2 linked regions of the Xenopus tropicalis genome follow. The protein of the gene in region 2 purifies or fractionates together with the protein of the main gene of each other region. This does not show direct contact. Links are inferred from orthologs where the notes say so. Each region holds a gene or a part of one and is shown on either strand. Other genes may lie near its edges. The genes, in order: fn1 and lgals1.1.

Region 1 (3,819 bases), on a different chromosome or scaffold from region 2:
TCCCGTCACAGGTACAAACTCCTTTCCTGAGACCAAAGGATGTAATTTGCCAAGGTACCAAGACTTTAGGTCCTCTGACTCCATGCAGTGCTACCACTATGGTCTCCTATTTTTATTGGGCGCTGGACACTCCAGGCTGCTTTGCAACCTAAGCATAAAGAATATTAAAAAAATAAGCTCTACCAATCTGCACATTTTTTCATTGGTTCAAAACAATAAATGGTTTGCATTGATTAGTGATTCATTTTTAAAGTGTCATATTCACCTATTAATCACTAAAATATCCTTCATATGCTGTTTTCAGGATACAGGGTTGTATACAGTCCATCTGTAGAAGGCAGCAGCACAGAGTTAAACCTCCCAAGTACTGCAACTTCAGTGAGCCTGACTGAGCTGCTCCCAGGAATTGAATACAATATTACAATCTATGCAGTGGAAGACAGTTTAGAAAGTGTTCCCATCTTTATTCAGCAAGGGACAACTGGAACTCCACAGACAGGTAATGCCTGACATGTTTGAATGCCAAATAGCACTGCCTTGATTAAGTATAAACCATTTTTTTTCTTTCTTGCTTAGTCAAGTGACGGTACCAAAGGGGATAAAAATGTACCTGAAATACCCATGAAATGCTGAGAAAGAGTAGTATGTAGGGAATGCATTAAAGTGATACTCGGTGTAGACTGAGTGTGATAAAATTCATGTGGTCTGATTTCAGATCCTACTACTAAAATAAATTGCCAACATTCCCATGGGTGGCAAGGGCTTACACCAAAGTTTGGCTATTAAAACGTGCAGTGGGCAATCACTGCATGCAATTGTATCAAGAGTTCAGTGTGATGTGCAGAGCAAAGATAAGGGGAAAAAGTTGATATGGGGGGTATAGTTGATTTATGTGCTAGTTTACTGCTCACTTGGTTTTGGGGATTCCTATTATATATGAGGGGTAAAGGTGTTACTTGGGAATAAAAAAAAAGTAAAGCTTAATCTGCAAGAAAATTGCTGAAGACATTGGATGTTTTGTAACTTTGATAAAGCTCAAACATTTAATATATCTAACTTTTTTTTTTTATAAAATCTGAATACATTTTCTTAAGGATTTACTGTTCCACTGAATCTAGAAATAATGAGACTTGAGTGGATTTGTTTAAATCTTGTGCTTTTAATTCCTGGAAATAAGTGTGCTTCAAAAAGGCTGTATTTGCTTTTTTGGAATCTTGGTACCCTTAAATAAAGGCTTGTTGCGCTTGGCTGCCTGTCCTTTCCTCCAACAAGTCTTGCATCCCTGTAGGTGTTTGTGGTGGTGTAAAAATCCCAGACCTATATTTGTAATTCTGTGGCCTAATTTTAAAGTTCTGGGAGTAATCTAAGGTATGCTTTTATTAGCCAGTGGAGAAGCAGAAGAGAAGGAGGGTTTGTTGCAACCATGGGCCAGTTTTACAAATTAAAAGGGAACAAGTTTCTTTTAGGACCAGGTTTGACCCCTGTCAGGAAGGGTGTGCGGTCCTTGGCCAATATTAAACTGCGTACATGGGCAGATCTAACAACATAATTGCTGAAGTGTACTCTTGCACCAGTCTGAATTTAGATTTGAGCAGTCTACTATAAGTTAGTAAATATAAGCACAGAAGACTAAGTACATACTAATTGTGTTGGGGTTTTTTTTTCTATTTTTTTCAGTTATAGTACCATCTCCCACTGACTTACAATTAGTGGAAGTTACCGATATAAAAATTACCATCATGTGGAACCCCCCACAAAGTGAGGTTTCTGGATACCGAGTTGTTGTGAAACCTGTAAGTCCCTCTGACCGTGATGTGCAGAATCTCCCCGTGAGCAGGAACACTTTTGCCGAGGTGGTTAACTTGCACCCTGGCAGGACCTATACCTTTGAGGTGTATGCAGTTAATCGTGGACAAGAGAGTGAACCCCTGGCTGGAGACTTCACTACCAGTAAGTCATCTTCAGTCTCAGCTGCCTGCAGAGATGATCCAAGTGCCCATTGTGTCTTTAATTTTTTGTGTCAAATATTTTCCAGAAAGTAGCTGGCTGTGCCCAATCGTTTATGCCGTGCACGTGTCCACAGCCCTGTCCAATGGTGTTGACTAAAATCTTTGTTTTTGCATCCAGAACTCGATGCTCCATCAGACTTGCAGTTTACAGATGTAACTGACTCTACAGTTGTTATTATCTGGAGACCACCCCAAGCCAAAATTGGTCGTTACCTGCTGTCTGTAGGTCAAACCCGGGGAGGCCAGCCGAGCCAATTTCACATTAACCCCTCTGCCACAAACCACAAGCTGGAGAGTCTCTCCCCAGGCACAGAGTACACCATTTCACTTGTTGCCCTCAAAGGCAATCAGCAAAGTGCTAGCACTACTGGTGTCTTTTCAACATGTAAGTTGTGAAAAAGGTATTGTTTTTAAGGAATTTACTAAATGTGTAATTTTTGTTTTTAACTGAATTTCATTCTCAATTGGATAACTGGATCTGTATAAATTGTTGCCCTCATTTATTCAGTGGTAAAAGTCATGTGACTAAGGGTTTGGGTTTGTTTTGCTGAGCAGTATAAATTTGCAGGGATCCCAAACCAAATCCTGGATTCAATGCATCCCTTTCATGTCAAGAAAACATTTTCCTGAAGAGTATGGAATATAACTCATAAGTTTATAGTAGAAATTTTACTACAGTGGCAATGAAACAAATTGGTCTTGTAGAATTTAACAGTGAATTGGTTAGCAGTCCGAATAGATTTAGCTCTTCCTGTCAGTGAATGGGTTAAATATAACAGTATTCCAGGAATGTTTCACAGCCTCCCTTTAGCTTTGAAGTGTGTCCTTCTGTGGCATAAGCAGGCACATATGGCCTTTTTCAAAATTATATTTGATAATTTGTACTCTTCAAGATGTGGAGTGTATGTTTTCATCCATACTTCAATATATTTTAAATGGCACAGTGGGTTTAAATTCTGCAAGCTCTGTTGGACATGAAAAGCCTGGAGGAATATTGTTAGCTGCGGGTGCCTAACCACTTCAAGCGATTTTCTGGATGTAGGCTCAGGCAACTTCCAGGGATAATTTTTTTCAGTACAGACATAAATAAGCCGAAGAATTCCCTTGACTGAAAATGGAGTTAATATAAAATCGCCTCTCCACCATATAATCTTATTTAACTTTTTCTACCACATGCCAATAAAAATTCCTTGCACTATATAGTGGCTCATTATTTTGCTTTTATGTCTGTTTTTTGTCTAGTGGAACCTGTGGGATCAATTCCACCTTACAACACTGAAGTCACAGAGACTACCATAGTGGTAACTTGGACCCCTGTGCCCAGAATCGGGTTTAAGGTAGGTGATACATTTTTCTGTCAAAGTTATGAATTTACTCTACTGCCCATTGTATCACAGGCGATCCTTGAGACAAGATGGCAGTGCAGCAGTAGTTTTAGAACCCTGGGAAGGTGCATTTTTAGAAAAGAGGAGCACTGCTGAGCTTGTATGGTGTCCTGGCTGAAATCGGACTCCTTTGGTCAGATAGGGTAAAATGATGGTGTAGTTTGTGCCGTATTTAGCTTCATCTATATGATCAAAACCTCCAGTGCAAAAGCACAGACCTCGTTTATTTTATGAACTGTTTATACAACATATTAAAAAAACCTCTTACCAGTACAGCATCTGCAATTTTGCAAACTGCAAGTTAAAGCCTTATAAAACCATGCATGGGTTTTTCTTAGACAGATTCACCCTAAGACTGTAATAAATATTCAGTATTTTTCCTTCTATATCATGCTTTCTCCTGCAGATGTGTGGTGAGTATCTGT
Region 2 (4,575 bases):
CCAGTGTCTGCATGTTTTCAGGCCCCATTCTATAGACAGTGACCATCTCCATTTTGAAGCACAAAGTTTTCCTCTGTCCTTCCCTGACTTGCATGGGTGTGGCATATGTAAATGAAAGAAGGGGTAGGGAATGGAGGCCCAGGTGTCATCTGTAGTGGATGCCATTCACAGAGGTATTTGACAATGAGACAAGCAGAGAACCTTGCCACGAGCGGCACTTTGCAGCCACTGTAACAGACACGTTTCCCTGGCCCTGGGGCCCGCTCTGAGTGCAGGAATGGGAAGTGCATGGGTGGCACTGGGTTTGTCCCCTCAGGCAGCAGAGAGGTCAGAAGCTCCCAAATCAATGCTTATCATTTTAAACTGGCATGATTTTAGTAGGGCTCTTATTTACTATTTAGGGTAAAGTACAAAATATATTTTCCCCCCAAATGCAGCATTTCCCCCCCTGAATTGCATGGTAGTTACACCAGCTGAAAATTATTAGGTACAGTTGGTTGCATAAACATCGGAGATTCCGCAAATAAATATAAATGTGTTTTTTAGACATAACTGATTAGTCTATACCGAACTTGTACAAAGCATTTTCCAACCCATTTTATTATACAGCCCATCCCGCACCTTGTTCCACTGGGAAGTGATGGATTTGGAGTCTTTATGCCCCTCTGTTTCCATAGTGTGTTGGACTCAAATTGCCTGTGTAGGGTTCCCCAAATTTTGGGTCCCCTAGGATGGTTGCCCCGGGATAGACCCCAAGGGAGGGTAGTACTTTAGTAGTGGGACACCTTGGGTGGTTGGCACTATAAGGGTTAACAGGGAGTTAGCTTCTCCTGCAGTTCAATACTTAGGCCACAGGGTGCACACAGTATATAAGGCTGTGCAGCCATGTGCCTGCAGGTCTTTCAGCCTGGGACCCCTCTTGGAGAAGAGTTTAACAACAGGTCAGAGTTAGACAGTTAGAGATTTGTTATAGACCACTCTAGGAGTGGGAGACAGGCAAGCTAGCTGGGCAGCGTGGCCCCGACAGGAGGATTTACTGGATTAAGATCCACCAGCACTCATAGCTGGAGTCAGGGTATAAAGTGCTAAGTGTAGGAGATTTGCCTAATCCCGGGGTATCTAAGTGGAAGTACCGGGGTGAGGTCTGCTGAGGGGGTGTCCGCTTGGCGAGAAGTACCGGGAAGTGCCCTAAAGAGGGGCTTCTGGCGAGAAGTACCGGAGGGAACCCCTAAAGGGAATCATCTGGCGTGTAGTACTGCTAATATCTCGTGGAGAGAGGGTCTCTTAAGGAAGAGGGATTGTACCCTGACTGTCTCATTGCTCCTGTATGCAACCTGCCTGTCTGATACATCTGTGACAATAAATAAGTTCCACTGGTTAAACATCAATCCAGTGTCCTGTCTCTGCATATCTGGAGGATCCACCTGCCTGGTAAGCAACTACCCCAGGGAGGGGGCAAGGTGCCAGGAGTGCTGGGAGTCCCCACACTGCAGTACAGTATCAAGTTCCCAGGAGGGGAGTTATAGTTCATTCTATCCCTATCCTGGGTGGAGGCACGCCAAAGTACAGAGTAATAGCTGTTCCCCAAAGTAAGCGGGGCTCAGGACTCCTGAAAGCGCCAAGTATAGTGATATATCAGCAGGTAGTGCCACATCTGTTTATAAAGTGGGCTACACCTGGAAAGCAGAGGGACTTTAAGTCCCAGAATGAATCAGTTCACAATAGAATAAGGTGAGGGAGGGGTCGCATGACAGTGTGAGCCTAAGGGAGGTTGGGAAATGATTTGTATGAGAAAGACGACAATGGTTTCCATTTAATCTGAGAAATCAGGTATATCTGTGTAAAAAAATACATTTATATCTGGAAGTTCAGATAGTATTTATGCACCTTTTCTACATAAACCTAAATGAATGAGCTTATGTCTAAACGGGGGTATATTTTCCCTTTAATGCATTATCAAAAGGGCACACTATAAAAAAAAACATGCAGCAAGAGCAGCTCTACTAATTGCATTTAACATATAATTATATCAGAGAATCTGTTTTGTATTTAGTTATTAGCACTAGAGGAAGTTGGAACAGACAGAACATTCAGGCTCAGGACCCCATCACCGCAAGGAATCTCTTCTAACCACTAAGCTGCCGTGTCTGCGTTTCCTCTGGGTACCCAAGCCCCTATAGGCTACAAATATTTCCAGTTCCAGATTATAGATACAGATGCTCTGGACTTTCTGGGTGGGCTGTTACGTGTCATTGCGCTACTCCTGGTGCACTGGGTGTGGCAGCTCCGCAGTTTGATTTCTCCAAATATGGTTTATTTTTATACAATAAATTAGCTGCACGGACTGCAGTTTCTCAGTCCCACGCCAAGGAATAATGTTCCGTTAGGGAAGCCAGAAAGAAGAGGGAGGGGTTGGAGGGGAAGAACAGAAAAAGAATTTAAACAAAAGAAAAGTAGAAAAGGGAACAAAGACAGACGCGAGATAAATGCAGAATGCAGAAGTGTGACATAGGGAAGTTGGGAAAATATGGAATTAAAGCACATATACAATTAGCCAATACAAATAAAAACTTTCCTACAAAAAGTGAAGAAAAGAACTTTATGACAAGGAATATAGTAAATGCAGTTATAATCAAAATTCCCCCAAGTGCTTGCTTGTTTAACCATAAATGCCCACACCCAGTGCCCACCCTACGTATTCACACACACAGCCATCATTGCAATACTTACAGCTGCCATTTTTCCACGTCCAATGCTTCTGGTTCAGTACCTCTAGCTTGGTTGGCTTTATATCTTTGGCATGGACCCCACCCTTACCCAATCATAAAAGCTAGCGATGAGGGGTGTTGCAACATTGGTCCAGCCCAAATGAAAGGAAGGAGGTAGAGAGGGAGAGAATCTGCATGACATACTTTCCATATGATGCGTTTAGACTTTAGAAAGTCTAACAAAACCGAGAAGAATAAAAAAAAAATAAAAGCTTGCAGAACCCAATTTTTCTACAACTGAGCTACACGGACTACTCAGAATAAAAGCACATGAACAACACACAAGTGAGAGAGAGACAGAGGAAATATTCATACAGTTGCAAATCCTAATTAGATTATTAGCCTGTTGTTGTTTAATAAAAGTAAGGATGTTATTATTAGGGAAGGAACCCATAAAGAGAAAGCTATTTGAAAGGAAATAGGTCGGTAAAGCCTTTGTATTTTTGTTGTATCCGCCTGAAGTAAGCTGCCCTTTCTTTTTAAACTGTTTTGCTGAATCAAAACTGCATTTATTTTTCGTATGTTGCTGCTGGCTGAATAAAAGCCATTTTTGTTTAAGAGACTTTTGACTGTCCTGGCATTTACATTGAGTGACCCTGCCATACTCTTAAAGAAAGAGATCTGATTGGATTGTTTGGTGGATGTCAGCCATACTGCTCAGTTGACTTGACATCTATGTTAGCTTAGGGCTTCACTTTGGCAGACCATCTTATGACCCATCATTTTCAGATAATCGGTCTGGCTTGGGGGCTACCCGGTACCTTAGCAGATAAGGAAGTGAAAATGGGTCACAGCTCCTCTTCCCTGTATGCAGACAGTTGTGCAATTTAGACTTGTCTGGCCTGTAGGTTAGATACCTTGAAGGCTCAGCCAGTGTATAGCTGCCTTTATCTGTGGTCCTACTATTATTTTTCAAGAAACAGGGGCTGGCTTAGAAGCTAACTGCAGTGACTGGATCCCTCAATCTTATGTTGTCAACACTGTGGAACAAGTCAGTTCATCTTCTCAAGCCTATATGTAAATAATATACCCTCGAATGGCTGCTACAAATGCTCTGTCCTACCCTCTTTTCCATTATCATGTGCCTATTTTCAATACTTACAACTGTTATATATGACTTACAATTAAGACACAAAGTACCCTGTACCTTATGTTTGCCATTGACCAGGCACTTTGCTACCTTATAAATGAGGCGATTAAGGGCCAAAAGACAGAAATGAGAATGGGCTTGTTTTAGTCAAGTAATTCCCAATAAGGGTCACCCTAATAAGACAGATTTGTCCATGTAATTACAGATAATGAAGTAAAACAACTATTTGTTATCTACCACCCACCATTGACTGTGTGCTGGCTCCTGGGTTATTAGCTTGCTCAGTCCTTCAACTCAGTAAGGTTGGTTTACCTACTGTATGGGATAACTTAACCAGGTACAGGTTCAGCCCCCCACTTTATTAAATAGATTAAACTCTATTACACATCTCAAACTGCAAGAATCAAAAATGGTAATTCTCTGCCCATAAATCTATGCACATTTGTCATCTTTCAGAGCAAATCTGACACAAAACACATTTTGCAGGGGCCAATAATTTATATGAAGTAGGTCTGCATGAACTACGACCCCTCAGCTTTCTACAGCTCCCAGCATCAAGAACAACCAAGGGACCATATGCTGGGCAACACTGTATCCATCCTACCCTACTATACTTGCCATACCTCACTCCTCCTGCATACAACTAGTGCTCTGTAGTTCCCTACTATGTGCTGGGCCTTGACTTAGCCCATGACTAAATGCCTTTTGGGCACATAA

What was found.
Region 1: the proteins of lgals1.1 (region 2) and fn1 purify together in Homo sapiens (affinity purification with mass spectrometry; 3 studies listed by BioGRID and IntAct, with this or other methods). This does not show direct contact. The link is inferred for Xenopus tropicalis from reciprocal best matches to the Homo sapiens genes LGALS1 and FN1.

What each region holds. Positions count from the first base shown.
Region 1 is NC_030685.2:58,721,741-58,725,559, reverse strand, and holds part of fn1 (fibronectin precursor), read left to right. Parts: coding exon 1-11; intron 12-304; coding exon 305-499; intron 500-1,677; coding exon 1,678-1,950; intron 1,951-2,127; coding exon 2,128-2,394; intron 2,395-3,251; coding exon 3,252-3,346; intron 3,347-3,819. UniProt on the Homo sapiens protein: Fibronectins bind cell surfaces and various compounds including collagen, fibrin, heparin, DNA, and actin. Fibronectins are involved in cell adhesion, cell motility, opsonization, wound healing, and maintenance of cell shape.
Region 2 is NC_030680.2:122,672,865-122,677,439, forward strand, and holds the start of lgals1.1 (galectin-1), read right to left. Parts: upstream 2,836-4,575; 5' UTR 2,740-2,835; coding exon 2,731-2,739; intron 1-2,730. UniProt on the Homo sapiens protein: Lectin that binds beta-galactoside and a wide array of complex carbohydrates. Plays a role in regulating apoptosis, cell proliferation and cell differentiation. Inhibits CD45 protein phosphatase activity and therefore the dephosphorylation of Lyn kinase.